4 linked regions of the Notamacropus eugenii genome follow. The protein of the gene in region 1 interacts with the protein of each later gene in a pairwise test. Links are inferred from orthologs where the notes say so. Each region holds a gene or a part of one and is shown in the gene's direction. Other genes may lie near its edges.

What was found.
Region 2: the proteins of TRIM63 (region 1) and PDHB interact in a two-hybrid assay, tested with the Homo sapiens proteins (2 studies listed by BioGRID). The link is inferred for Notamacropus eugenii from reciprocal best matches to the Homo sapiens genes TRIM63 and PDHB.
Region 3: the proteins of TRIM63 (region 1) and MYOZ1 interact in a two-hybrid assay, tested with the Homo sapiens proteins (2 studies listed by BioGRID and IntAct). The link is inferred for Notamacropus eugenii from reciprocal best matches to the Homo sapiens genes TRIM63 and MYOZ1.
Region 4: the proteins of TRIM63 (region 1) and TNNI2 interact in a two-hybrid assay, tested with the Homo sapiens proteins (2 studies listed by BioGRID and IntAct). The link is inferred for Notamacropus eugenii from reciprocal best matches to the Homo sapiens genes TRIM63 and TNNI2.

What each region holds. Positions count from the first base shown.
Region 1 is NC_092876.1:67,065,199-67,072,049, reverse strand, and holds the start of TRIM63 (E3 ubiquitin-protein ligase TRIM63), read left to right. Parts: upstream 1-3,834; 5' UTR 3,835-3,923; intron 3,924-6,851. UniProt on the Homo sapiens protein: E3 ubiquitin ligase. Mediates the ubiquitination and subsequent proteasomal degradation of CKM, GMEB1 and HIBADH.
Region 2 is NC_092874.1:466,872,128-466,880,052, forward strand, and holds the start of PDHB (pyruvate dehydrogenase E1 component subunit beta, mitochondrial), read left to right. Parts: upstream 1-4,925; 5' UTR 4,926-5,326; coding exon 5,327-5,374; intron 5,375-5,465; coding exon 5,466-5,519; intron 5,520-5,636; exon of another isoform or gene 5,637-5,758; intron 5,759-6,220; exon of another isoform or gene 6,221-6,378; coding exon of another isoform or gene 6,379-6,387; coding exon 6,388-6,495; intron 6,496-6,575; coding exon 6,576-6,638; intron 6,639-6,723; coding exon 6,724-6,759; intron 6,760-6,890; coding exon 6,891-7,176; intron 7,177-7,925. UniProt on the Homo sapiens protein: The pyruvate dehydrogenase complex catalyzes the overall conversion of pyruvate to acetyl-CoA and CO(2), and thereby links the glycolytic pathway to the tricarboxylic cycle.
Region 3 is NC_092872.1:236,700,724-236,708,017, forward strand, and holds the start of MYOZ1 (myozenin-1), read left to right. Parts: upstream 1-4,287; 5' UTR 4,288-6,523; intron 6,524-7,028; exon of another isoform or gene 7,029-7,139; intron 7,140-7,294. Other genes in the region: SYNPO2L (synaptopodin 2-like protein), read left to right, coding at 131-2,301. UniProt on the Homo sapiens protein: Myozenins may serve as intracellular binding proteins involved in linking Z-disk proteins such as alpha-actinin, gamma-filamin, TCAP/telethonin, LDB3/ZASP and localizing calcineurin signaling to the sarcomere.
Region 4 is NC_092873.1:25,972,495-25,980,199, reverse strand, and holds TNNI2 (troponin I, fast skeletal muscle), read left to right. Parts: upstream 1-4,696; 5' UTR 4,697-4,780; intron 4,781-5,073; 5' UTR 5,074-5,079; coding exon 5,080-5,202; intron 5,203-5,632; coding exon 5,633-5,722; intron 5,723-5,947; coding exon 5,948-6,124; intron 6,125-7,024; coding exon 7,025-7,120; 3' UTR 7,121-7,491; downstream 7,492-7,705. UniProt on the Homo sapiens protein: Troponin I is the inhibitory subunit of troponin, the thin filament regulatory complex which confers calcium-sensitivity to striated muscle actomyosin ATPase activity.

The sequences.
Region 1 (6,851 bases):
TGAACATGAATGGCCTCTAAGGTCCTCTTTCTAATTCTACGATCTTATGATAATCCTATAGAGCAATGAACAGTCAGTCCCTGGATGTGCATAAAACATGAACGTAGAAAAGATCAAGGAAGAAGTTGGAGATCATTGAGAACAGAATTCAGGTCCCAGAATTTAACTCTTCCCATACCAATCTGATCTTCCATAAGTCCTTGAATTCCTATTTTTCCTTTCTAGGTTAGCCTCAAAGTAACCTGATATGGGATTTTCTTCTCATACTACACAGTTTCTACTCCTCTTCCTGGATTACCTAGAAATCCACTTGGGACTTGCTTCTCTATTCCTTTGAAAATGTTAAACATGTTAAGCAATCCCAAACCTTTTGTGTGCTGGTATAGTCATGTCAAATGTTAACCTATTACCCACAGTCAAGAAAAAAACCCTGGCTTTGGCTTTAGAAGGGATGGGTTGCAATTCCTGCTGGGCCACAAACCACCTGGCAAGTCCCTTCCCTTCCCCTCACTGTTCTTCAGTTTTTTCTTCTTGACACAGATTTAGAGTCATGTTTACGTGACTACCCGGGATCGCAGGATTTAGGGTTGGAAAGGACCTTAGTCCAATTCTTCATTTTAAAGATGAAGAAACTGAGATTCCAAAAAGTCAAAGTAACTTCTTCAGGGAGACTGGATAGTACAAGCGAAGCCACCAGAATCTGAACTTGAAGTCTTCTAAGACTATTTCCACTACACCCTGTTATTATCAGTGAGAGCACAACAACTTTATTTCTACAAAAGGTAACTGTAGCACAAAACACGGAGAGCACGGAGTGTTAACATTTTTGCAATAATGAATTACAAAATGCCCAAACACTTTATTACATAGCATCTCTTCCTCAGTGCTAAAGAACACAGTTAACGGCAAAATGCTATATTATTAATCCTCACTTCCCGGGATAAAATAGAAAAAAAACCAGTGGTTATAAAATGCTTTCAGTCAGTCCTACTGACTGAATTAAGCACCTACTATGTGCTATGACCACAACCTAAAATGGTGATTAACTCTGAAATTCCTTTACCTGATCATAATCAAGCCAATTCAAGTCAAGCATTAATTAAGCACCTTCTATGTGCTAACAAATTAACTATAATGTGCTATGTAAATATACTGTTTATTGATATTAATTTTATTAATGTTAAATATTATAATAAATATATACAAATTATTTGGGTTGCTGTGAAGAAGATTCCATGCCATGCCCCTGAGAATGTTGAGCTGTTAGTGAATTCTGGGCCCTTAATAGTATCAATAAAAAAAATTATAATAAGTAATTAAAATATCAGTCCTCGCTTAATGAAGTAAAATAGAAAATGCAGTGGCTATAAAATGTATTCAGTTAGTTGTCAAAACATTTATTAAGCTCCTACTATGTGCTATCAACCACATCCTAAAACACCCATGTTGATTAACTGTGAAATTCCTTTATCTGATCATAATCAAGTCAAACAAACATTTATTAAGCGCCTGCTGTGTGCTAACAAGTACTGGGAATACAAAGAAAGGCAAAAGACAGCAGCTGCCCTCCAGGAGCTCACAGCCTACGGGGGAAGACAACACACAAACAACTCTGCACAAACAAGTCGGAAACCAGGTGGATGGAGAGCCCGGATGCGGACATTCAGCCGCGACCCCCCAGGGAGGGGCAGGCGGGGTGCACGCCCGCACCCAGGCGCCCTAACTTCCCGGGGCTCCTGCCGGGCTCGCGGCGCTCCCGCCGGGCGGGCGGACAGGCACCTGCCCGGCTCCGGACACCGCTTCCGCACTCCGCCGCCCGCGGCCTCGCTCATTGGCCAGCGCACCCGGTCCTTCCCCCCGCTCCCGCTCCGTGCAACTCCAGTGACAGGAGGGGCACTCGGGGGTCCCGGCGCATCCGCGGGGACTGCGGGAGAAACAGCGGGGCACTGAATGCCGGAGCCAGCTGGGGCCTCCGATCCGGGGATGTCGGCGCAGGGAGGACCCTCGGAACTCGGAGCTGAGTTAGGAGATGGGGAGGGGCCTGACCGACCGCCGAGTGCGACCGCCGCCCCCCTTCTTGAACAGAGAGGGAAACTGAGGCCCAAGGTCACGCGGGCCTCTCGGACTGGGCTGCTTCCGCGCGGGAGGGGGAAGGGGGCGGCCCTGCGCTCTCCGGCCCGAGGTCGCCCGGCTGTCAGGTCAGGAGGGGGGGCGGGGGAGAGCCGGGGCCCTCGCACCCCTCAGGCGGCCGGGACCCCGGCAACGGGCCGCCCGAGGGGGGCCGGGCCGCGACCCAGGCCCCAGGGCGCCCACGGTCCACCCAGGTGGGCGGGCCTGGGAGGCGGAAGGCAAGGGCTGCCTGCACGGTCCGGACGGCTTCTTTACCTCAGGGTCGCCGCCGCCGCCTCTCCTTCTCCCGGGCTCTGCAGGCCGCCATTATCGGGCTCCTCGCGCCGCCGCCGCAGCCAGTCCGAGGCCGGCGCGCGCCCCCGCGTGCGGACACACCCCCTTTCCCCGATCTAGGGCCCAACCTCCCCCCCGCCCCAACCTCCCGCTTCGGCCGCACGAGCGCCTTCCCTCATTGGGCGAGCGCTTTCCTAGCGGCTCTCCTTATTGGTCAGGCGCGCGCCCGGCGCCCTGTCCCCGCCTCCCGGTTTCCTCTTGGATCCTAAGAGCCCTCACGGCAGCTGCACTCCGCCGGCGCGAGGCTCCGGCTTCCAGCTGGGCCTCGCAACCCGGAGACCGACGTTGTGCACGCGCTGAGGAACGCACCACTCGCGCCCTTCCCCACAGGGGTGGCTGGGCCTGGGTCGGAGAGGGAGGATACCCTCGAGGCTCGTCGCCTCCTCTGCACGGAGGCGGTTTCCCGCCAGCATCCGGAGCCCAGCGAAGCGTCCCGGGAGGACAGCTGGCCCCGGGCTCGCCCAGCTCTGCAGCGGGTTGGGCTCCGGCCTGTCGCAGAGCCCAGGGCTGCGCCGGCTCTCCGGTCCCCCCCGGGCACCCACCTGCGGCCGGCTTCTTGGCTGCGTTCGCCCCTGTCAGATGCTTTTTGCATTTTCCTCTGTGGTGGGGTGCGGACGCCTGCGGGGCTGGGGAGGAGGCGGCCCCGGGGGAAGGCACGTCCCGGGCCGGGCAGAACCGGCATCCGCCCCTCCGGGAGGAGAGCCCCTCTTGTCACTGTGCCATGTTCCCCCGCACTCTGGGCCCAAGGCCTGGGCTAGGAGCAGGGTGCGTTCCCCTGCCCCCGCCCCTCCCCCCGGCGGCGCGTTGGTATCTCCCTTAAAGAAGCAGGGACCTCATTGTTCTCCGGGCTGAGGGGCCCCGGAGGGACCCTCGGCATTGCCGCAGGGCGGCTGGGCTGACCCTGCCTGGGCGCCCCTCCTGGTCCGAACTCCTGGACTCGTGGGCGCGCCTGGGAGTGTAGGCCCCGCTCCGCACCCGGCGTGGGTCTGGAAGGCACATCAGCCAACTACCTGAGCGCCTACCACGTGCCAGGCTGGCACTTAGCATTTACAAAGCGCCTACTGCGTGTGGGGCACCATGCTCCGCCCCCGCCTCCCACAGCCCCTTGTGCCCACGATGTGCCGGGCACTGTGCTAGGTGGTGGGCATACAAAGAAAATCAAAAAGGAGGTCTGCTCTCAAGGAGCCCCCCATCCAAGTCAGGGACCACCTGGGGATACAGACAGGATGATGGTGGATGATCAGCTGAGGGGGGGCCTTCAGAGGATCCCCTCTGAAGAGGGATCAGAAAAGGCTTCTCGGAGAAGATGCGATTTTAACAGTGCTCACAAGGGCCGGCAGACAGCCAGCAGCCGATCGTCCGAAATCGATAGAACCGACAGCCCTTCTATTAACCAGTAGATTTAAAGCTTCAGCTGCATGGGAGCCAATAGTCAATCCATTAGCCAATGACCAGCAACAGTAAGTCATTCCTTACCCAGATCGAACAGATCGCCACGGAGTCAAGTTAGCAACATTTATTAATTAAGCTCTTACTGTGTGCTAGGCCCTGTGCTAATTAACCTCTGCAAACCACAAAGAAGGGCAACCTCAGTCTTTGCCCTCAAGGAGTTTATAGTCTCAGGGGCAGATGACATGCAAACAGAGACATCCCTGTGAAATGCTTGCAAACCTTAAATCGCTATACAAAGGCTAGCTCTGTTATGTGAAAATAAAATTTAGGGTAAAGTTGGAGGTGATTTCAGAGGGAAGGCCCTACCTAGGTTAAGGGGGGACCAAGAAAGGTTTCTGCAGAAGAAGGTAGGATTTTAGCTGAGACTTGAAGGAAGCCAGGGAAGAAAGGAGGTGGAAATGAGGAGGGAGAAAATCAGGCATGGGGGGAAAATCAGGGGAAGTGTGGTCAGGGGATGGGGCATCTTGTAGGAGGCATAGCATGGAAACTGTGTCACTGGATCAAAAAGTAAGTAGGTGAAAGTAAGGTGTAAGAAGGCAATCATTCAGCCCTCCAGACCAATAACAGACCCCAAAAGGTATTCAGTCAAAGGATACGGGGGTCATTTCTTATTTGCTTTTTTGTGTGTTTAGCCTGTCTCCTCTCTACCTTGTATAAATCAGGCCAGCTCCTATTTTGGCTTCCCCCAAAGATTGTTTTGCTTTTTACATGTAGACTCTAAAGTTTAGCACAATGCCTGGCATCTTGTAAGCTTTTTAATAAATGTTGATTGATTGACTGATACCTGCCCAAGGGAGATAGATTAAATTGCTCTAAGAAACATTTAGCCCTCAAGATCCCTTTCTGTGCAGGTTACTGTCATATTCTGAAAGACTTAGGATGAAAAATGCTCTCTATCTCCAGAGAAAGACTGATGAAGTCTGAATGCAGATTGAAGCATACCTTTTTACTTTATTATTCTTGTTGGGGTTTTTTTGTTTGGTCTTCATTTTCTTTGGCAACATGGCTAATATGGAAATGTTTTGCATGACTGAACATGTATCAAATTGCTTTCTTCTCAAGGAAGGGAGGAAAGGAAAGAAATTGAAACTCAAATTTAAAAAACTATTTAAAATGTTTACATGTAATTGAGAAAAAATAAAAATTAAATATAAAAAAAGTCACTGTCCTGAGAGCCAGAACTTCTTTTTATTCATGGATGAAATCAGACAACCTGTCAAGAAACACTCTTGAGCCATCCTTGGAGTGCTATCCCGCACTTTGATGGTTGTTATATATGAAAACTAGGGCAGCTAGTGCATAGAGCACAGTGCCTGAAATCAAGAAGACTCATCTTGGTGAGTTCAAATCTGGCCTAAGACACTTACTAGCTGTGTGACTGAGCAAGTCACTTCACCCTGTTTGCCTTGGTTTCCTCATCTGTAAAATGAGCTGGAGAAAGAAGTGGCAAAGCACTCTAGTATCTTTGCCAAGAAAACCTGAATGGGATCACCAAGTCTGAAATGAATGAAACAGCTGAACAATAACAATATTTTCAGATCTTTTCCACTTTCTCCTGAATGTTATTTTCCTCCGAGCTTTAAACATCCCTGAGATGACCAATTATAGTTGGATCTGTTGCTGAGCTTTCTTTAAACTAATTTTACCCTCCACTGTTTGTCTGATTCATACTATTCATAATCCAAGTATATACTGGAGAGCCAGTAATTTAATTTTTTAGCATGAGCATTTACACTTCGGAAATCAGTAAACTACTATAAAAAATCCAGGCTTGATATATTGTTTTGTTGATTGTCTAGACTTAAGAAAATGATGGAGAAAAGTTTACTAGTGTATATTAAACTTAAAAGTGTGGCAGCCTTGGGGTACAGCCCCACCCCTACCTCTTAGCCAGCTGTTAAACATTTATCAGTAATCATCCATCTCCTTCTCCGTAAGGTTTTACAAAGGAATTTCTATTTTAATCAGTGTTGCCTTTGGTCACCATCTCCCTGTACTTGACAGGAAAGTCAAGGATTTGCCAATTAAAGTGTTTTTAAGACTCTCTTGTTCTTTTTATGCCATTTGATTTACATCTATTAAACCTCTATGAAATTATTATCTTCTGTCATTCCTTCTATCCATTACCCATTTTTCCCAGCCAATCAATCACAAGTTTAAATTCTTCAGGATTAAATTGTTTCAATTTCATGCCGTATTCTTTTCTCATTATTACTCCGACTGGTTACTCGTTCTGATCTTTGCTCTAACAAGTCAGTAGTCTGACAACTGCTTTAGGATGTCTTTGACATCAATAGTGAGTTTTTTTTCCTGTCCATCAAAGTTGAATCAGTTTCATTTTTTAAATTTTTGATGGTTATTCAATACTTGCCATGACCAGTTCCTAGAAATTCCTGAAAAAAGTATTCATTATGTAAAAGGTTGACGTCTCTGGGTAGTCTGTGATCCCTTGTCTCTTTTCTTTCCTTCTTCCTGATCAGCACTTTTTGATTTGTCACTGGTTCCCACTTTCTTCTTGTCATGTCATCTGTCTCCCCACCACTGCTGCCTTACTTCTCCCCATATGGACCAGCTCCCTGTAGGATCCATGCCCTTAGTCCCTGAGGAAGTTATCCCACTCTGCTTTGGAATACTCATCCACTTTGGGGCTGAATCTTCCTGAATTAATGCAGACTTCCCTAGCTCTCTGTATCTAACCAGCCTCAGGCCTGGTTGTGCTCCATCTAACAAAGCAAGTCCTCCACCAAGGTCTTCTTGTCATCTGCCCCGCTGCCTGTAGTTTTGGAAAAGGTTTGTTGTTTTACTACTCAGCTACTAAGCACCTGAGGTGGTTTTGAACTTGGGTCTTCTTGACTCCAGGTCCAATTCTCTATCTACTATACCACCTAGCTGGTGAGTTAATGGGTAGGGATATATTCCCTTCCTCCTGAGTAAAT
Region 2 (7,925 bases), on another chromosome or scaffold:
ATGGGAGGGAGTAGCCTAGGGTATAATTAAGGGATATTGAACAAAAATAAAGGGGCAGGGGAAGCATAAGAAAAGAAGATAAAATTTTGAAAGTTGTTTGTACATGTTTCCTCTGTAGTATAACAGGGTAGTGATTATATTTATTTTCCAAATAAACACACAAAATGCAAGTTATAATCAATCAGTGGTCAAGTCCTGATCAGGTCTTAACAATCAAGTGTTGGCAAGTGAGTGTGTCACACATTGTCGGGAAGTCCAGCACACGTCAGCAGGAATATCTGCAGGTAATGCCTTTTTACAATACACTATACTGTTACATGACAAAATACTGCATCATCAAAATTTCAATACAGGAAAAAAAACATAAAAATAATAAATTATTAAATTTAAGATGCATCATTTCAAAAAAAATTATATCCTATATTTTATTATATCTTATATCCTATATTTTTTTGAAATGATGCAAACATCAAAAACAAACAAACAAACAAACTCGTTAAAAGGTAAAAGAAAGTAGATTTCCAGGGTGGCATCGAGTAATTTTCTTTTTTTTTGAAAAGTTAGTGGTAGGACAAACAAGTTGGGGAACTTCTGCCCTAGTTGATCCAATACTTTTTCCAGTGTTTCCTCATGTTCTTCTAGAGTCTCCCCAAAGACAATACTGTCAACAAAAAGGACCTCCTCTGACCCTAACAGCTGTGCATTTTACCCTGATTTCTCTCCTGCATTCCAACCGCCTGTCAGACATCTTCACCTGGGAATTGTTTAGGCTTCTTGAAAACAGAACCCACCATCTTCACCACTTAGCTCACATCTCCTCCAAACTTCATATTCCAGAAGTTGAAAAGACTTAAATCCAGGACAATCCTGAAGGGGAAGAGGAAAAATAATGTGTGGCCTGAGCTGAGGAGTATGACCAGAAAGAGGGAAAGGGCAGTTTAACTTAGCCTGACCTTAGTGAATGGCAGACTCTTGTGTGGGTGGACGAATGGTCAGTCTTCCTTGGTAAACACTGGCTCCTTCAACATGCCCCATAACAACTAAGTCACGATTAAGATACAAACAGTGCCCTAAGAGTTAAAAAAAAATAAGGTTGCTTTTCTAGTACTTTGTGAAGCCCCTAGTTTATTCTGTAACCTGAAGGCACCCTAAAGTCCTTTTCCCAATTATCTTGAACCTGTACCAAAAGAATTGCTTTTGTCTCCCTTATTCTGTGTTCCTTGGGTCCTTTAATTTTTAACCCATATCCTCCTGCCCTGTCCTTAAATCCTTAAACCATAAAACTTCCCCCTTACCCATAAAATTTCCCCCATCTTCCTTACTCATCTTCCTGTCATCCATCTTCCTCATTATGTCCCTAATCTTCAACCCCCATAAAAATCTCTAAAACTACATCATCATTCTGAAATCTCTTCATAAGCATAACTTGAGGCCTGAATATTGAGACTTTACTTAGCCATCTTGCTAAGGAGCCCCGTGATGCTCTTTTCTTCTTTTTTTAATTTTTTAAAATTTTTCTTTTTTAATTATTTTACTTGTTTTCAGTGTTCTACAATCACTTCCATATATCTTAGATTTTTTCCCTTCCCTCTCCACTCCCTCCCCAAGACAGCATGCAATCTCATATAGGTTCTACACATACATTCCTATTAAATACATTTTCACCTTAGTCATGTTGCATAGAAGAATTAAAATGAAGGGGAGAAACCATAAAACAAAATATAACATAATACAAAAGAAAAAGGTTGGCTTCATTCTGTGATCCAATTCCATAGTTCTTTCTCTGGATGTTGAAGGCATTTTGCCTCAAGAACCCACTGGGAATTTTTTTAGGTCCTTCCATTGTTATGAAGGACTAAGTCTACCAGAAAAATTCCTCGCACACTGTGGTTGTTGCTGTGTACAATGATCTCCTGGTTCTGCTCCTTTCACTCAGCATCAGTTCATAAAAGTCTTTCCAGGCCTCTCTGAAGTCTTCCTGTTCATCATTTCTTACAGCACAATAGTATTCCATTACATTCATGTACCACAACTTGTTCAGCCATTCCTCAATTGATGGGCATCCTCTTGATTCCCAGTTTTTGCTCACCACAAAGAGAGTGGCTATAGATATTTTTGTACATGTAGGACCCTTTCCCATTTTTATGATCTCTTTGGGATACAGTCCTAGAAGCAATATTGCTGGGTCAAAGGGTATGCACATTTTTGTAGCCCTTTGGGCACAGTTTCAAATTGCTCTCCAGAATGGTTGGATGCGCTCGCAGCTCCACCAACAATGAATTAGTGTTCCAACTCTCCCACATATTCTCCAACATTTATCATCTTCCTGTTTTGCCATGTTAGTCAATCTGATAGATGTAATGTGGTACCTCAGTGTTGTTCTGATTTGCACTATGATGCTTTTTTCAAGTTAAAATAAAAAGTTCCTATTGGCTATAAGTGAAGGTCTAAGTGAATTCTTTCACACCTGAACCTGCTCTACCAACTCCAAACCTCCTCAATCCCTCCTTGTTAGGTGTCTGAGTAACCAAAGGCTTCGACCGAGGCTACTGCCCTAATTTGCTTCAGCCTTGGTGGCATGTTAGAGAAGAGTAAGGAGGAGAAAATGTGACTAATAAAGAGAAAAAGACATTGGGGGGCATTTGGTCCCCTAATTCAACCATCCATGACTATATAGGCATTAATAATTCTGCTCAAAGGCCCCAAGTGGATCCCTACTGATTCAAGGATAAAAATACCAATAGTTAATCTTGATTTATAAAACCCTTCAGAGCCTGGCTTCCACTACCTGTCCAGACTGACTTGTATTCCTTCCTTTCCCCTACTCTCTGCTCCAGTCAAGGAGGCACTATTCCATCTTCCATTTCCCTTCAAACCTTCCCTTCTTACCTGAGCTTCATACAATCTCTGGCTTCTTCTTGGTTCAGAGACCATCTCCTACAGGAAGTCTTTCCTGATTCTGCCAGTTGCCAGTACTTTCTCCCCCCAGAAGTTATCTTGTGTTTACCTATATGCTACTTTCTTCTTCCCACCCCAAGAGGAAGAAAAAGGAATAAGCATTTATATAAATTGGATGCCCTGCTAAGCACTTTTAAGAAATATCTCATTTAATCCTCACAACAATCCTGTGACGTAGGTGCTATTATTATTCCCATTTTACAGGTAAGGAAACTGAGGTTAAGTGACTTGCCTAGGGTCATATAGCTAATAAATGTCCAAGGTCAGATTTGAACTTGGGCCCTCCTGACTCTAGTCCCAGCCCCTCTATTCAGTCTCATATTAATTCTTGGAGGCTGGGATTGTTTTGGTTTTTTCCAGTGCTTAGTACACAGTAAGCATTTAATGAAACTGAATTGCCTAAATAAATAAATTGAATTGCCAAACCAGCAAGCCAATAAATAGTGTCTATGATAATAGTGTTCTAAGTGCTGAGGACACAAATAACAAAAAGAATGTTAGTGCCTGTGCTCTGGGAGCTTAAAATCTAAAGGAGGTAACACCCAAAAGACTGCAGGAAAGCCGGTAGAACACAGAAAGAAAGGGAGAGACACCAAAGGGTACCAGGGGCTGGGGCATCTTGTTCGTGGACTTGAAACCTGGCAGGGCAGCAGATACAGGTAGAGAGAACCGCCTTATTGAAGGGTCCCTTTCCATAGGTCATAGCATGTGAAGGTTAGTACTGTTTGGAAGGTTTAGAGTCACCCTGATAACTGTCTTCAGGTGTGGTGTCTGAAGTACTGATGCATTTCCTAGGAACTCGTCTTGCTTTATCTGTCCCCAGAAGGAAGATCTGGGGTGAAAGTCATCAAGTGCTGTCTAAGGGTGTAAGAGGCTGTGGATTCCGCTGTACCGTCAAGGATGTTGCCAGGAAAGTCCTTGCTCAATGGATCACGGATTCAAAGCTGGGAAAAGTCCCAGAAGCCACCTGCTCCAATCCTCTCATTATACTTTTGAGGAAACTGAGGCTCAGATGTGTTATGTAACTTGTTTGAAGCTGTGCAGGTAATAAAGGTGTTAGAGCTGGTAGCTGTACCCAGGCCCTCGATGTTCTTTCCACCCATCCACACTGGCCAGCTTCCGTGGGGGGGCTTCGAGACTCAGCTCAAACACCATCTTCTTCAGGAAGCTTTTCTCTGCCCTCCCAGCTATTTTGCATACAGGGCATCCCAAAAGCCTTGGTGCAAATTTTAAGCTTTTGAAAAAACCTTGACTAAGTTGTAAACAGCTATTTGCAAGTTGTCTTCCTTGTTAAAATGTGAGCTCGTGGGTGTAGAGCATCGTTTCAAAGAAACCTGAGAAGACTTACAGGAACTGATGCAAAACGAAGTGATCAGAACCAGGGAAACCACACGATAACAACAGCACCACAGTAGAATTCAACGGTGAAAGATTTAGGAATTATCGAAATGACCACTCACAATTCCAGAGCACTGCCTCATAATGAGAAAGATTACGCATCTGCACCGAAAGGCATCGGTCTCAGGGGACAAAGTTTGTTGTGTTTTTTAACCTGGCTAATGTGATCATTAGTTTTGCCTGACACGCATCTATCTGTAACTTGTGTTATGTTTTTCTTGCTTTCCCAGTGGGCTGGAGAGAAAAATTAGAAACTGAAAATAAAACAAAATGGAATTTTTAAAAAGTTACATGCCTGTAGATGGACTCTCTCCAAGCTACTCGATGGAGATGGGCGGGTCTCCTAGGTGATACTTAGTATCCTAGCCGGCCTCCAGGGCTGATATTTACAAAGCCGACCTCTCAGCTGAAATTTACAAAGCTGACATTTACAATCAAGTGGAGCTCAAGAGCTGATATTTACAACCAAGTATGAGCCCCTTCGCCTCCCACAACACACACTGGGCCAGGCGGACTGCCTGGACAATTAGCCGTTATCTAGCAGGGGAATCAAAGAACGGAGGGTCAGAGACTTCAAAGGAGCTTTGCGGACCGAAAGGCTCTCCAGGAAGGAGAACTGAGCGTCAGGGCTAAAAGGAGCCTGGGATTTCAACCCACGCTCGGTCGCAGGCAAAGGGCACGGCGTGCCCTCTGAGTGTGCGCCCCGACGCTATCAATAAAGTTTATTTTAATCGAAATCAGGTGGCGCCTCCGGCGGAAAGGGACACACGCGAGCTCCAATCCCAGGCTGTCTGGCTTTGGGGTCCCGCCCTTGCCCCGCCTCCCAGAGCGGGAAGGAGGGAAGCACGCGCACACCGCGCCCTCCCATTGGACGGTGTCGAGGTCAGGGGAGGGGCCGACCCGTCCCCTCGCTATGGCTCGCCGTTGTCATTAGACCGAGCCTCCGTCACCGGTAGAGGACACGGGCAAGATGGCGACGGGGCTAGTGCGAAGAGGGCTCACCGGCTGCGGCCAGCAGGTAGGCGCGACCCCGAAGAGAAGACACCCCTCCCACGCCGGCCCCGGCCCCTCCACCCCACTGACTTTCGTTCTCTCTCCCTGCCCGCCAGGTGTCCCGGTTGCTGCGGAGGCGCTTCCACCGCTCGGCGCCCGCGGCGCTGCAGGTACGGGGTAGGGCGGCAGGGGCCGCGGGGCGAGGGGGGGGGGGGGGGGGCGGAGAGGAGGGAGGCCGGGGCTGCGCCTGCGTATTAGACTCCTGCGTGGGGGTGGGGCGCCGTCTACTGGGCTGCAGTCCCGGACCTCTGCCCGACTGGGGGCGGGGCCGCCCGTGGAGGAGTGTAAGCCCGTTGAGGGCAGGCGTGTTTGCCTCCCGAGACGGCTAAGGATCCCTTCGTGCCCCGAGGTGCTTAATAAATGCTCCTTCCTTTCTCTCCACCCCCAAGGGGCCCCCCCAGAGTTAGCATCGCCCCCCGCAAGCGGCTCGAGCCTGTAGAAAATTGGAGAGTGTTGAAAACTAGCGAACACATATAGAAAGCCAGAAAACGTAACCCCAGGGTCCCCAGGCTTCCCTCTTGCACCCCCCTTTCCCCAAGGGAGCCTCAGCTTTACGAGGAAAGGCAGACCCCCGGTCACAGCCGTCCCCCATCGCCCACTTTTCTGGGCTAACTTGGCCATGGCCCTTTTCCAAATCCCCCTCCCCTGTTTCCGGTTCTTTAATCATATGTTCCACCAAAATAGGTTCTAATCAGTTTAATTTAATTAAAAGCAAACATTCTGCCCCGGATTCCCAGGGAAGGAGCCGGATAGGCCCGGGATGGACGACTTTGTCCCCACGCTCTGGCTGTAGCTTGGATTGTGTCTGCAGGGGGATGCGACCTTGGCTTGGCTTAGGGGCGGTTTGGGGTCGTTCCTGCGGTGACCTTGGCTCTCTGGGTTGGCCCACTCCCATTCTCCCGGACCGTCCTGGACTGGCAGGGGAGCCCTGGGAGGGGCCTGGGCCGCTTCGGACCGAGCGCCCTCCCGATGCCACAGGTGACCGTTCGAGATGCTTTGAATCAGGCCATGGACGAAGAGCTGGAACGGGACGAGAAGGTCTTCCTGCTCGGAGAGGAGGTTGCCCAGTACGATGGCGCCTACAAGGTAATGACCAAGGATTCGGGGTGCCCCCGGCGGGCCTGGCCGCCCCGCGGTAACCGGCTCTGCCTTCGTGTTCACTGCAGGTCAGCAGAGGCCTGTGGAAGAAGTACGGAGACAAGAGAATTATCGACACCCCCATATCCGAGGTAGGGCGCCCGCGGGACAGACCGTGGGGAGGCGGGAGTGTGGCTGGCCGAGGCCTGCCCTCCACACCGAGCTTTTGCTTTTCAGATGGGCTTTGCCGGGATTGCCGTAGGGGCAGCCATGGTAAGTAAGGCACATGGGTCATTTTCGGCTTGATCTTAAATTGTTTTAACGTAATGCAACAATGGTAGTTGATACTTTTTTCCTTTTCGTTAAGCTACTTAGTTATGTTGGGTTTTTTCCTAATTTAACAGGCAGGATTGAGGCCAATTTGTGAATTTATGACCTTCAATTTCTCTATGCAAGCAATCGACCAGGTTATAAACTCAGCTGCCAAGACTTACTATATGTCAGGTGGGCTTCAGTCGGTGCCCATTGTCTTCAGGGGACCGAATGGTGCTTCCGCTGGGGTGGCTGCCCAGCATTCCCAGTGTTTTGCAGCTTGGTATGGGCACTGTCCTGGATTAAAAGTGGTCAGTCCTTGGAGTGCAGAGGATTCAAAAGGCCTTATGAAATCAGCAATCCGGGATGACAATCCCGGTGAGTCCTTTTTTCCTTCTGATTTACAGAGAATCTTCCGTAGAATTTTATAGTTGGGGAAAACCTTAGAAATGAGAGTAAAACATGCCCATTTTAAAGGAACTGAACCTTTAGCTAGTTTTAATCAGATGACTTGAAGAGAGAAACTAGTTTTGTTTTTAAATCTTGATTTCTTCCTGTTTGAATGTGAATAATATCCTGACGTTCAGAGAAAACGTGTGTTTGCCCCTGTCCTGGCTTGTGATCCATAGCATCTCTGGATTTCTGACATGCTTTAATTTTAATAAGCAGAAGAGCCGGATTAGCTAAGATGAATGTAATATAGACAAGCCATTATTAAGCTTAGCTGTCTTTTAAAACTACAGCAGTTGAGATTTCCTCATATAAAACACAGCTTTTTTAAGGGAACTCTTCTAGAGGTTAATGTCATTGATTTATATTTAATCTACATGAGTAGTTAGTCATCCTTAACACTCCCCGATACTTGTTTAAAAAATAGCCTGAAACAGACTTGAAATCCCTCTGATCTTTTTGGACTTCACATTGACTTAGAAAACCTCAAATTAACATTCTGTGGGCTATATTTTTTATCTATTTTGTTAATTTCCCATACACATTTTATTTGAGCTCTGGCAGGGCTCCAGAGTTTTGCTGTCCCCCATGAGCTGGGCACTTCCCGCTTTCCCCCCTCCCTTGTGGCATCCTTCAGTTCTCCTAGGGAGGCGTTGGCCATGGGGTGGGGAGGAGAG
Region 3 (7,294 bases), on another chromosome or scaffold:
GAGGGCAGAGAGGAAAGAAAAGAGGAGGCTGACTGAGGCAGGAAAAACCCACGGGGCTCAGCAGTCTGCAGTGGGGAACAGGACTTCTTGGAGGGTCCACTGACCATTCTCATACCTTCGTTTCCTTCAGAACTCCAGCGCACAGAGAGTGTTCAAGAGAAGAACATAAAAGAGGCCAAGACCAAATGCCGGACAATCGCATCCCTGCTGACAGCTGCACCCAATCCTCACTCCAAGGGAGTGCTTATGTTTAAGAAGAGGAGGCAACGGGCCAAGAAGTACACCCTGGTCAGCTTTGGGGCTGCAGCAGGAGAGGGATCAGGGGCAGGAGGGGAGGAGGAGGAAGACGGCATCCCCCCGACCAGTGAGTCTGAGCTGGAGGAGGAGACCTTCTCAGATGCCCGAAGCCTCACTAACCAGCCAGACTGGGATAGCCCCTATCTGGACATGGAACTGGCCCGCTCAGGTTCAGGCACAGCAGAAGGGCCAGGACCAGGGCCAGGGGGTGGCCTCAGTGAAGCTTCAGGGAGAGGGGCACGGCTTTTTGAGCAGCAACGGCAGCGGGCAGCCTCTAGCTCCCTGGAACAACCTAATGACACCCCCCCAGCCCTGATGAATGGGAGGGGCCCTCCACCCCCACGGCCCCAGAGCACCCCCCCAGAGGTAGCCTTGTTACCCCCCAGTCCAATGCCACCCCCTGCTACCAGTCCCATTTCTTTAGCCCCTTTCCCAGCCACAGGCATTTTCAACCGTTCAGCAAGACCATTCACTCCAGGATTCCAAGGGCAGCGCCCAGTAACCACTTCCGTTGTTTTCCGTCCCCTTGCCCCAAAGAAGGCAAATGAAAGTCTCAGGAGTCCCAGTCCTGTTCTTCCCCCATTCTTGTCACCACCCCAAGGTCCCAGCCTTACCCCCAGCTTCTCCACCCCAAAGGATCCTGGTAACATACCACTCTCCATCTCCACCAATGCCTCATGTTCCTCAGGCCCAGTGACAGCTACCACCTCCTTATATATTCCTGCCCCAAATAGGTCCATTACACCTGGAGGTCCCCCTGACTCTCAGGCCTCTCACCCCACGGCTGCTATGACCTCCACTGCTTCCATCTTCCTGTCTTCTCCCCTGAGGCCAACTGGACTCCCCATGACATCCAATTCAAGTAATGCTGCCCCTGAGGCTCCCAGTACCCGGGAGCAGAGAATATCTGTGCCTGCTCCCCGCACAGGCATCCTGCAGGAGGCACGGCGCCGAGGAGGGCGTAAACAAATGTTCCGTGGGGGGAATGAAGAGAAAAAAAATTCACCCAACCCTGAGCTGCTGTCATTGGTACAGAACTTGGATGAGAAACCTAGGCCAGGAGGGACTGAGTCTGGTCCTGAAGAGGATGCCCTGAGTCTAGGGGCTGAAGCCTGCAACTTCATGCAGCCTACAGGTGGCCGAAGTTTCAAGACCCCACCCCCTGTGACACCTAAGACCCCACCTCCTGCGGCACCTAAGACCCCACCCCCTGTGGCACCCAAGCCTGCACCCCGGGGTCTTCCTGATGGTCTAGTGAATGGGACTGTTCCCTCCACAAGGGTCCTCCCTGAACCACCTAGACTACAGGGTCGAGGTGGAGAGCTATTTGCAAAGAGGCAGAGCCGGGTAGATAGGTATGTAGTGGAAACCACACCTGGTCCTGGTCCTGGTCGTAGTACAATCTTTAGCTCCCAACCCCGAAGCCCCTCTCCTACCCCTTCATTGCCTCCTTCATGGAAATACTCCCCCAATATCCGCGCCCCACCTCCCATTGCCTACAATCCACTGCTTTCTCCATTTTTCCCACTGGCTGCCAGAACCCTTCCCAGCCGAACGCAGCCTCAGGGACCCCGAACAACCACAAAGCCAGGCATCAAAGCCATCGACTTCATGAGGCACCAGCCATACCAACTCAAAGCTGCCATGTTCTGCTTTGATGAGATTCCTCCAACCCCTAGCCCTATTCCCCCAGGGTCTTCTAAGACCGCTCGAGTTCATGAGATACGTCGATTCTCTACCCCAGCTCCCCAACCCACTTCTGAGCCCTTGGCCCCAACTGTGCTCACTCCTAGAGCCGCCACTTCACTGGATGAGCCCATCTGGAGAGTAGAAATACCCCCAGCTCCAATTCATGCCCCTAGCCCAGCTCCAACTCTAGAGTCTCCTCGAGCTCTCGGGGCCTCCCCTGGTTCCTGCAACTTCCAGGTGGCCAGACCCCGGTTCTCAGCTGCCAGCTCTGGATTGCAGGCACACGTATGGAGACCTGGAGCAGGCCATCAGTGAATTGGGAACAGCCAAGGGAGCCAGAAAATGGAGTACCTAGCAAGGTCTCAGAGTTATTTCTGCCACCCCAAACCCTCTTTTCTAGATACCTGGAGAAAGTTCCCCTGCCAGGGCAGGCTTAGTCCTTCCTTTCCTGGTACTTTTTGTCTGTCCAGCTTTCTCTGCTCTATCTCTTGACTCTTTTTTGGTCTGTTTCTCAACTTGTGTGTCTTTGTTCCTCTCACTGCCTTTTTCTCCCTATTCATTCTGTTATTGTGCCCCTCTATTTTTGTTTCTCTCCTTTGATGCTTTGCTTTTCTCTGTTGGCCTGCATGTAGTAAGTTGACTGAACCCAAATGCAAAGAGAAGGCACTGCTCTTGTAGCCTTAGGCCTGGGTAACTGATGAGAGAAGGAACCTGCTGCCTGGCAGGTGTTCTAGGCCTCTCCTTTCTCCTCTTCTCCAAACCTGGCTCACACCTAGACACGTGTGCTTTGTGTTTACCAAAGGTAAGGAGGAATAGGGAGGTGAGTTCCAACCTGGGCTCTACCCACAGCTCTGCTAAGGTCATGTATAGAAAAAAAGCCTTTCTGTTAAAGAAAAGCTGAGAGATCATTCACTTATCTCTCAGGTGATCTGTATAGTACCCCACAAAACTGAGAGACACATTTTTTGGAAATGGGGGTATCTTAATGGAATTCCTGTTGAGATGATTTCTAATCCCTAAAACTTTTTCTAGTCTTCCTTAGATCTCAGTCAACCACTCTTGCTACTGGGGGGTAGGGTGGGTAAAGAGTTGGGTATGGGAGTAGAGAAACTGATGAACCAGGGCAACTTTGAGGATGATGAAAGGACAGACTTAAGTTTGTTTGGAATGAAGACAGATTCCTTAGGATGGGAGGAGGGTGGGAATCTCCAAAGGCCTATGCTAAGTTAACCTGAGTAGTGGGTTGTGAAGAATGGAAAACTTCCTTTAAGGAGGGATGAATCATTGGCTTCTCAGTCTCATGGATCTAAGTCATTAAGGGGCTACTGTCTTAGAACATGGCACTTGGAACAGAAAATGGGGGCAAAAGAGAAGCTGGAGTGACTAGGCCAGAGTGAGGCAAAGTGTGGGGGTGTGAGAATGGGTGTTGTCAGAATGAAAGTGGGTAAAGACAGACTGTGCAGGAGAGGGGTTGTATGACTGAACTTTAGGGACAGGAGTTGTTAGAGCAGAGTCAGGGAGGGATGACAGTAGAGTGTATATCAGTGAAGTACAATAATCATAATAGCTAACATTTGTATATCACTTACAATGTGTCAGGTGTGTCAGGCACTATGCTAAATGCTTTACAAATATCTCATTTGAGCCTCACAAGGACCCTGGAAGGGAGGTGCTATTATTATACCCATTTTAAAGATGAGAAAAATGAGGTGAATAGAAGTTAAGTGACTTGTCCCAGGTCATACAGCTAGTAAGTGTCTGAGCTGAATTGGAACTCGAGTCATCCTGACTCCAGGTGTAGCATTCTATCCATTGTATCACCTAGCTGCCTCCAATAAGTGGGGAGAAGGCCCTCAGAGCCCGTGCTGCTTCCTTTGTGTCTGTCCTTCAGTCTGTATCCCTCCTTCTGGCACTATGAGCACCCAGGTGGGGGCAGGAAAATATCTAGAACCACAGTCTCCTAGCCCTTCCTATTCCCATAGAATTTAGGTCCCCATTTCCCTGCTTTGGGCTTTAGACCCTGATTGCTGAGCCAGGAGTGGGGGTGAGGGGTTAAGAGCAAGGGGAGCAGAATATGGGATGCACTCCTCCCCCAATCACTTCTGCTGCTTGGTTTTTAAGTTGTTTCCCTTATGTCTCAGGTGTGAGTCACTCTACTTTGATTTGTGCACAGTAATAAACCTGTATCCTACATCTTATTAGTTACCTCGCCTCTCAATCATGCCTTTGTCCTCAGTTTCTACACAACATCCTCTTCTCTGCTTGTTCTGCGGCTCCCCTTGGCTCCTGTTCATTCTCTGCTTTCCCCATCCATCCACCTCCTCTTCCCTATTCTCCCCCATGTCCCTCTTCTTATTCATTCTGCTTGGACCTTTTTTTGCTTTTCTCCATCATCTCCCAGTAACACACGTATACATATATACATACATGCAAACATATTTATCTACATACACATACATTTTCTCCATTTCTCTCAAGTGCTCCACAGCAGAGAATCTGCTCTTTAGGTAGAACTGAGAGATCTTTGAGACGACAGGTCCTGTTTGTTGTCCCTATACTTGTTTGTCACTGAGAATCTTGGGATGGGGCCAGTGATAGTGAAGAAAGCCCAAGACTGGCCATAAAGAAAAAAATCACCACTTTTGTAGGGGAGGGGGGACAGACGGTTTTTAGGAAGGGAGAGTGTCACATTTCCTATCCTGTCAGTAGAGGGCATGCTTGTGCCACCAATCGGCCCAAGACTCCATGAAAGCCCCACAGGAATCGTAAAAATTCCCATAGAAACCTAAGGTTTAGGCAGGAGAGCATATGGGTGCTCCCATCTCACCAGGTGGTTCTAATCAATCACAGAAACCAGTATTTACTGATTTTTTTAAAACTTATTTTGAATCAGAGTAAGTGGGCAGGAATGAGGACAGAAGGTAAATAACAAGTAGTAGGGACCCAGGCCAATTTGGGTAGCACCCCAAAAATGCAGACCTCAGGGTGGTGGGAGGTGTTCTGGGATTTAGGGAACCATTCCCTAAAGTAGCTAAAGCTCAGTGAGGAAAGGGTCAGGGACACGAACAAAAGGAGTGTTGAGAGATAGATCCCAGATCCACATGTAATAAGTGCTGGGGCAGGTATAGGTGAAGTTCAGGGTTTGAGGAGGATACAAATAGAATTCTCTTAAAGGGGTTCTTAAAATCAGATCATTAGCTGGATCAGGGTGATAGTAACAATAACAATATGGACATCTGTCTTAAGATTGAAAAGTCTTGGCAGGCAGGGCTTCTGGGCAGTGTGGCTCCCAGGGTTGGTGAATCACTTGAACTCAGGAATTCTGAATGGTAGTGGGGCTAAAGTGCCCAAGCTAAACTGGACCCAGGATGGTGAGCTCCCCTGAGCCACTAGGGCTGAACCCACCCAGGTCAGAACTTGAAATCAAAGTTTCCAGCCTGGTCTGCAGTGGGGTCAGCTCACCACAGGCTGTGGCACTTCTACCCTGGGTGAGATAAAGAGTCCCAGGCAAAAAAAAAAAAAAGAAGAATGGAAGTTCGGTGAAAGAACCTGAAAGCTGGGGAGACCCAAAGAAAGCTGGCAGGGCTGGAGAACCTGAAGGTATTTCATGGACTTTGTCATCCAAAACTTTTGAGCTCGAGACTCAGGACTCACAAAAACAAACATTGGCTTACAAGAGCTGGAGGCCAAGAATCCACCTGCCCTCTCTTGAAAAAGCTACTGGAAACTCTGGAGCAGAGGTTAGACAGGAGAAAGAAAGAAGGTACAGGTTGTAAAAGAAGAGGGTGGAAGGAGCTGGACCCCACAAGCCCTGGTGGCCTGTCTGAGGTTCATTCAGGGGACCCCTGGGACAGAAGAATCTACTTAAAGGTGAGGCCTGTTCCTCCCTTGCCAACCAGAAGTACTTTCTGGGTGTTCAGAACATCAGATTTCAGTCACAATGAAATCCCCTTTCTTTTTCTCACTGACCTTTCCAGGTTCCCTCTGCACACCTCACCCCTCTCCTCCACTTCCCCTCAGCTCCCCGATGGAGCCACTGATGTCTTCCCTATCTTCTTCTCCATAATAAGACTTAAATATCTCTTCTCTCCCTTCCCCTTCACTTCACCCCTAGGGGCTTCTTTGTCCTGGATGCTTTTTAGGTCTTTGTCTGCGATAATAGGGGAGAGGGAGATGCACAAATGGGGCTCAGATCCATCATGAATATAGCTCAGGCAGCTCAGTTGCTTGAGTCCGAGTGTCCTCTCTGCTCCTGGAGGGCGGGGTCTTAGGCCAGGGTCTCAGTATTCCCCAATGCCATCTGAGCTGCTCTCACTCATCATCTCTATTAATAACCCCCCCCCCCCCTCCACCACTCCCACACCGGCCCAGCTCAGGTTCTCAGGTCAGAGCTGCTCAGCTCTCCACAGCAACTGGACCCCTGGGGGAGACTCTAAGCATACCGGCTCCAACCACAAACTCCCAACCTGTTCAGCCTGAAGGTCTGAAGCTCCCATTCGAACTGGTCCTGTGTCTGTGTCTGCAGCTGTGACCCTTGGTGAGTGCCCCCTCACCCTCTTGGCTCAGCTGTCCTGTGGTGGAGGAGGGCATGGGTGGAGAATGTATAAAGTAAGGATCATCAAGAAGATTGGAAGACTAGCCAGGGAGTTTAGGGAGCAGGGAATGAAGGATGCAGGCTGGACAGCTTTGGGGAGGGGGTTGGCTAGGCCAAAGAGATGGGGGAAGGGCACTGGAAAAAAGGGAAAGGGGCTCAGGAAGTCTGGAACTAAGTGGAAATGAGGAACTAGGAGAGGGGGTTCAAGGAGGTGAGGATGAGTTCATCAAAAGGCTTTAACTTTAACCTGACTAGGTGGCTAGCCCTTGCAATTATATAAAAGCTGTAGCTGGGGTGGAGTTGGGGGTGGGGGGAATGGACTGAGCAGAAGCAGAAAGATTGTGCTGAATTGCCATTTCTGTCTGGGAGGGACTGGGGCCTGTGCCCAGAGTAGAGCTGGAGGCAGATGTTCCTTCCAACTCATCTCCCACTCTACTCCCAGATCCAATTACAGTGACTTCTACACAGAGCCAAGCTCCTCATTTAGTTTTCTGCTCCTTTGAGATTACTGAACTACTGAGAGTTAGGGATCCCTTGAGGGGAGACCCCTAGTGTGAGGGTAAGGGGAGCTGGAGTGTTGGGAGAAGGGAGTTATATTGTCTCTTAAGGCCAAAGGACAACCAGCAGAGAGAATTGACAATTCCTTCTCTCCATAGGAAATATTTTTGGCAGGCAGAAACCTCTTTGCCTTGGCAGAATGGGCCTCAGATTCCA
Region 4 (7,705 bases), on another chromosome or scaffold:
CCTCACACTCATTCCTAACTTCTCAGTTATTGGCCAGGGCCATCACCATCATCTCAATCCCTCAGACTTGCAACCTAGGAGGCATCCTGGATGCCTCCCTCTCTCTCATGCCCCAGATCTAATATAGTGCCAAGGCTTGTAGATTTCACCTCTGCAGCACCTCTGGTCGATTTCACCTCTGCAGCACCTCTGGTCGACTTCACCTCTGCAGCACCTCTGGTCGATTTCACCTCTGCAGCACCTCTGGTTGACTTCACCTCTGCAGCACCTGTGGTTGATTTCACCTCTGCAGCACCTGTGGTTGATTTCACCTCTGCAGCATCTGTCATATACATCCCCTTCTCTCCTCTTACACTGCCTTGACCATGATACAGACCTTCATTCCCCCATTCCAGAATTATTGCAATAGCTGTCAGAGGGGTTGGGGGAGGGGGATCTACCTGTCTCAAGTTTCTCCCCCCACAATCATTCCTCTACTCAGATGCCAAAGTGATTTTCTTCTAAAGCCCCACCTCTCCAAGTCTATTACATCCAGGATCAAATATAAACTCCTCTAGTGTTTAAGGCCTTTCACAATGAGCCCCCTTCCCACCTTTCTAGTCTTTTTCCCTCCACCCACCCTGTGATCCAGCCCCACTGGCCAACACTCCATCTCCTGACTCCAAGTCTTTGCATTGGCGGTCTCCTATGCCTGGAATGCCCTCCCTCCTCACTTCCACCTCCAGCAGGAGGCCTTTTCAGGCCCCTCCCACATCCCTGGAGATGACCTATGTTCTGTGTAGTTTTGCAATGCACCTAGTTATTTACCTGTTGTCTTCCCCATTAGATTATGACCTCGTTGAGGGAAGGTAACATGTGTTTGCCTTTCACTTTATCATGGTGCCTTGCACACAGTAAGTACTTAATAAAGGCTCATTGACTGTCAGTAGCCCCATGAGGAGGGTGGTCTATGGGAAAAACAAGGCTAAATTATTTTGCTGCCTTGAGGCACCCAGATGAGGTCAGAGGTGACCTGCAGAGGCAGAACTGTCCTCATGACCTGTAGGCAGTACCTTTTCTTTCAAGACACTGCTGTGGAGCCCAAGGCAGAGCCATGCCTCTCTCTGGCCCTTGGCTCTGTGCAGCCGAAAGGAGGTCTGAGTGGGACTGGGCTGAGCAGACACTATTCCAGGGTAGCTCCTCAGAAGCCCAAGGTATCTTGGGCTTGTCACAAAGTCCTAAATAGATTTACTCCTGTCCAGCCCTTCTCTTCCTTCTCTCTCTCCTCCCTCTCCCTTGATGGATCCTCTCCTTTCCTGCCTCCCTCCCCCGTCCCCCACATCTCCAGGACTCCCTAGGGAGGTCTCTGAGTCTCCGTCCCTCATTGGTCTGAGAAAGCTGCCATGCCCTTACAGAGCTAGGGCCCCCGCCCTCGACGCCCATTTATACCCCCTCCCACTAGGCCCAGCTGCTGGGACTCCATCTCGTGTCCTGACCTCTTACCATCTGCTGGGTACTTTTCAGGGAAGCTAGGTGAGCCTCTGAGGGCAGGGGTCCCTGAGGGCTGGGGTCTCTGAGGATTGGGGCAGGGCTTCCAGGGAGGAGGCAGGTGAAATTCAAGGTGGAGGCACTCTGCTGGGAACATGTTCTCTGTGGGAGGGCTCACTTTGCTCTAGCTGACTCACTGTGGGACTTCCATGGTGGTGGTGCGGAGCCCAGGACCCCCACATCCCTTTGGTTGTATCCAGAGGCTCAGGATGGAGATGAGCATTGGACCTGATTTGGAGAAATACTTTCTGGGTGGCTAGATCTCCCTCCTGAAGAAGCTGGGGATGGGGAGTGGCTGGATGGTCACTCCTCATTACTAAGGCCTGAGCAGAGCCCCCACCCCCACACCAGGAGATGGGCTGAAGGGTGGAGTCATTTTCTTCTCCCTGAAGCAAGGGGCTGAAGGGGGCCAGGTCTATAAATATCTCCTCTCCTCTAGTCTGAGAGGCCACCTGTGCTGGCCTGTCCCCTTAGTGAAGACTCAGCCCCCCACCCCCTGCAGCCTGAGTTGAGTGGAGAAGGAGTCACTCAAGGAAACAGCTGCTGCAGCAATTTGTAATCCAGCCCCCCACTCCCCACCCCAACACACAAATATCATCCCATTTTTAGAAGCACTTTCTCTGACCCCTGGGCATTTTCCAAGACCAGGTTGACCAGGGAGGAAAGGGCCCTTGGGTGGGGGTGCCAGGAACCCCTCAAACCTTTTGGGGAAGGCCTCTAGTTGGGGAGGGGACCTCATTTCCCTTTTATCTACCTCTCTCCACAGGTTCTAACATCAAGATCTCAATATGGGAGAGTGAGTATCCCTTACACTGCCCTTCCCCACCCGGTTCAGCCTTACCTGATTTTCTAGCGTTTATCCTCTAGGCCTGACTCTAACTTGTCTTCTCTCTTTCCTTGCCTCCCTTTCCTCCCTCTCTGACCAGTGAAGAGGTAAGTACCAGCTGGGGGGGGGAGGGGGGGTTGGAGGTTTGGGGATAAGCCCTGAGGCAAGGAGAGGGATGGGGATGTGGGCAGAGCAAAAGTCGCCATCTCCAGGGCTTAGAGCATTTATCTCCTCTCCCTGGGGCAGGGGGATTCTCCTGCCTTCTCTTTCTCCCCTCTTCCCCCATCTGAAATGCTCTGGCCAAGTCAGTCCTTCCCAGAAAAAGCTGGCCTAAGAATCCCCCAAACCTCCCATTCTGTCCTAGTCTGTCTGTCCTCCAGGGACAGGGACTGATTTGGAGCAATTAGAGGATGAATCCAAGATCCCACTGACTCAGTGGGTTCATGCCAAAGAAGGGAAGACAGGCGTGTGTGTGAGCCTGGGGGGCAGCAATCTGCCCTGTGGCCATGCCTACACCTATGTCTACCACCCTTAAGGAGTCTCAGACTTCCTCGGTTCAAGGTCCAGGACTTGGGGATGTGACCTAAATGGAGAGACTCCTCACTGGTTTGACCACTCCTGGGGGCATCGACGCTGGGCTGCCCCCTCAGACCCCACTCCCCATAAAAGTGTCTGGGCCTGAGGCTCAGATTCTCCCTGTACTCACTTGCCTGGCACCCACACCTGAACCCCAGAAATGCCCCCAGCTCATTCCTGATTGACTCTTACCATCTCTGGCTCCTTTCCTTCCCTATTCCAGTCTGCTCTGACCTGGCTCCCACCCCTTTCCTATCCCTGCAGCCCCCCAGGCTCAGGCTTATCCCTCTTGCTGGCACCCCCCCCACACACAGCAAGGCCTGGTCCCTGGTCAACCCTCCTTGAACTCTCTTTTCCCTCCCCCTATACACTATGCACACACACACACACAGACACACACACGCTACTCTGGTGAAACTGAGGAAGTGGTCAGGTCAAGGCGGGGAACAGGGGAAGTGAAGAAAGAGAGGCCCCCCCTCCTTCCCTCCACCTGCTCCCCCAGGGGTTCACACCCACACCTCCAGGCTCTCCCAGGAGCACTTCCAAACCCTTCCCCCATCCTCAGAAGGTCCTTCCCATGAGTGTAGAGAACAAGATGGCTACAATGTATCCTCTGCTCCCCCCCCTTTCTGACAAGGGAGGGGGGGGGAGGAGAGAAGGGAGGGGAGGAAGGTGGAGGAGAGAAGGGAGGGGAGGAAGGGGGAGGAGAGAAGGGAGGGGAGGAAAGGGGAGGAGAGAAGGGAGGGGAGGAAGGTGGAGGAGAGAAGGGAGGGGAGGAAGGGGGAGGAGAGAAGGGAGGGGAGGAAAGGGGAGGAGAGAAGGGAGGGGAGGAAGGGGGAGGAGAGAAGGGAGGGGAGGAAGGGGGAGGAGAGAAGGGAGGGGAGGAAGGTGGAGGAGAGAAGGGAGGGGAGGAAGGGGGAGGAGAGAAGGGAGGGGAGGAAGGGGGAGGAGAGAGGGGAAGGGAGGGAGGAAGGAGAGGGGAGGAAGAAAAAGAGGGGAAGGAGAGAGAGAGGGGAGGGGAGGGGAGGGACAGAGAAAGAGCCAGGGCCTGGAGGCCAGTTTAGGCTCCACTACCCTGCCTCCCACCCCACCCCACTCCCCATAATGATATAAAATTATAACAAAACCTGTAACAAAATATATCAAATTATAACCAGAAGGCTTCACCTGGCAGAGGCCTAATTCACAGATGAGGAAACAGGCTGAGGGTCACAGCTGGGGGGAGCAGGGCAGAGCTGGCACTTGGCCTCTGTTGTGGTTCCTGCTATTTGGGGAAATCTGCCTCTGGGGCTGAGAGAGTCCCAGGGTTCACCTCCCAGCTCGTGTGACCCTGACTGGGCCAGTTGCCTCACCTCTATCTGCCTCGGCGTCCTCATCTGTAGAATGGGGATAGTTACTCTGAGGGTGTTAAGCAATGGTGTCTGGTGTCGAGCTCGAGTGGAAAAGGAGACAACTGTCCAGGGTGCCTGTGGGCTGCACGCTGATGCAAGAATTTGCACCATAATATTATTTATATGTTCTTGAAGTTTTACTAAGTTTGTTAAATATTCCCAGTCCCACGTTAGCCTGGTCCTCAGCGGGGACCTGGGCTCTGTATTTGACATCCCTGGTGTAACAGCTCTAAAAACCCTCTCGACATGACAGAGATTATCATGAAGATTCTGCAAAAGACTCTGGACCTAGCTTTTCCCTTTCTGCAAAATGGGAGAGAAGCAGGCCCTATGTCTGCCTGGCAGAGGCTGGATTGGGGAAATACGGAAGGAGGTGGGCAGGACACAGGCCTAACCTGTTTCCCTCTGCCCTCTGCAGAAAAGGAACCGAGCCATCACGGCCCGCAGGCAGCACCTGAAGGTATGGTCCTGAGGGGCTCCTCTTGGGGAGGGGGGATATCTGAAGCCTGGAGGTAGGGAGAGATGAAAGGGCCCCAAAAGAAGGACCAAAGAATAAGGATGAGTGAGGGGCAATGATGCTTCCATGAGTAGCCTGTAGCTGAGTTTCCAAATGGGCTGTTCTGGACCCTGAAAGGGCTGGGGGACCTTTGGGGCCTGTCAGGGGTGAGGGGCCCTGCTGCCCTGGGGGTAGCCTCCAGCGGTCCCTGCCCCACTCACAGTCTCCCCATCTTTCTTGGGGTCTGCCCCTCCCAGAGTGTCATGCTCCAGATAGCTGCCACTGAGCTGGAGAAAGAGGAGGCCCGCCGGGAATCTGAGAAGGCCAACTACCTGTCTGAGCATTGCCCACCCTTGCACCTGCCAGGGTCTATGTCTGAAGTGCAGGTAAGAGGGACCAGACTGTTGTCCTCTGCCCTCTGCCCTCTCTGGTGTGGCTTGCTTACTGCCAGGATATGGGATTGGGGACCGGGACACCCCAGGGATTCCCTTCCTGGCTCTGGGCCCCAGAACCCCACCACATCCTCCCTAGTGAGTGCCCCCACCTCCAGCCTGTGTAGGTCTACCTTCCAGGACAGAATCGAGGTGCCCCTCCTGGGTCACCTCTACAGGGATGAGAGGTGCCCAGAATCCCATTCATCAGTCCAGCCCTCCCGTATCTCCTCCACACCATCCCCAGCAACTGGGGGCATCCAGCTACCCCTGCCTAAAGCCCTTGCAAGGCTTCTCTTCTCCATGCTGGACAGCTCCAGCCTGGCCCCAGGCATCAGGCTGGGCTGAAAGCCATTGACCCAGACCTCCCAACCCCCACCCCCAGGACCTCTGCCGGCAGCTCCACGCCAAGGTCGATGCAGCTGAAGAGGAGAAGTATGACATGGAAATGAAGGTTCAGAAAAGCACTAAGGAGGTGTGTGGAAGGCCCGGGGGCCCTGCCCCAGCCCCTGCTGTTGGTCCTGGGCCCACTTGTTCAGGCTAGCTCCTGCCCAACTCTGGTGGGTGCCTGGACCTGCCCCTTCTCCTTCCCTACTCTGTCCTGGGGGGGGTACAGATGGGAGAAGCCTTCGGGAAGAAGAACCTCAGGGAGCCAGGTCTGGGGTTGGGAGGGACGTGGCCTTCCCCTACCTCCCTGCAGCTGGAAGACATGAACCAGAAACTCTTTGACCTTCGGGGCAAGTTCAAGAGGCCTCCTCTGAGGAGGGTGCGGATGTCCGCCGATGCCATGCTGAAGGCCCTGCTGGGCTCCAAGCACAAGGTGTGTATGGACCTGAGAGCCAACCTGAAGCAAGTGAAGAAAGAGGACACTGAGAAGGTAAGAGGGGGAGGGGAGCGCCCCTCCCCCCAGCATTCAGCCCTCCTCCCTCCTCCCTCCATTCTCCTCTCCCTCCTTCCTCCCCCTCCTCCCTCAGCCCTCATGGTCCACTGCCCACTCTTCCTTCCCTTGAGCTGCTCACACCCACCCACCCTCCATGGCACTGGTGTCAGACCAAGCACAGTTTTCCTGGCTGTAGGTGAGATTAGGCCTGTTTCACACTCAAGGAAATGGAAACAGAGGGGTTGAGGCATTTGCCCACAGCCACAGCCACAGAAGTGGTGGATCTGGGACTTGGAGCCATAAGCCACGTGTGTGCTGGGGGTCCTGGGGACCAGATGACTTCTGCTGTCCAGGAATAACCATTCCCAACTCTGGGAAAGGGGCTCAGCCTCCAGCTCAGGCCAGCTCTGGGCACCAGCTCTGGGTACCAGCTGAGCCTGAGGCTCCCAAGCTTTAGGAAGTACCTCACCCCTGCCAGAGGAAGGTGATGGTGAAGGGGACACGCCACAGACCTTACACAGGCTCTCCCTTAGATCTCTCACTTTTAGGCCCTGAATACTAGGGGGGCATCTTGCTCCCCACAAGGTCTGATCCCTCCCAGATGGCTCCCAGCTCCCATCTCCCTAACTTTGTAAAGTACTCCTATCTCTGTCAGCCTGAGGAATCTGGGGGGAGGGAGAAGGGAGAATCCAGGAGGAGGCCCAGGGAGACCCAAGGCACTAGTGGGACCAGGTCTAGCTGACTGCTGTCCCCCCAAGATAGGTCTGCTTTTTCTTGGTTCTCAGGAGCATATTGCTCCAGAGGATATCGCTGAGGTCAAAGCCCCCGCTGTGGCTGGGCTGGGCTAGGGACAGCAGGAGGAGAGTGCCTCTGAGCCTCATCTGTTATCACCTCCAGGAAAGGGACCTTCGTGATGTGGGTGACTGGAGGAAGAACATTGAAGAAAAGTCTGGAATGGAGGGCAGAAAGAAGATGTTTGAGACTGAATCCTAGACCTTCCTGCTTGCCTGCCTGCAGCTGCCTGCTTGCCCGCCTGCAGCTTCCTGCTTGCCTACTTGCCTGCCCACTCACCCGCCCATCTCCCAGGCCTCCTCACTCCTACCCCAGTCCTATGTATTCCAGGCCCATCTCTTACTCCTTTGCCAATGCCAGCCCCTCAGAACCTGGCTCCTTGCCCTGCCTGTGGCCCCAAGGACCCCTGCACAGACTCAGCTCTGCTTGGCTGCACTTTTCCAAAGGGCCCAAGTGAGTGAGAGGGGATGGAAAGAGAAGCAGAAGTCAGTCCCTGCACCCAGGTGTGCAGTAGGGTGGGGGCCCACCCTCTCCAGAAACTTTAGCCATGTAAATAAAGCTTTGGAAGTCCAGCTGGTCTGTCTGTCCCTTCCCTCTCACTGGTCACAGCAAGCATCCATGGACCTCAGGGATGTCCAAAGTTTCCCTGGGGCAATCAATCATCACACAGAATCACATTATGTATGGAGAAACTGAGACCTGGAAGGGCAGGCCTTCTCCAAAGTCACATTCTAAGTTAGTGACTCAGACTTACTGAGTCTCAGACCTGGGTTCCTTCCACTGCTG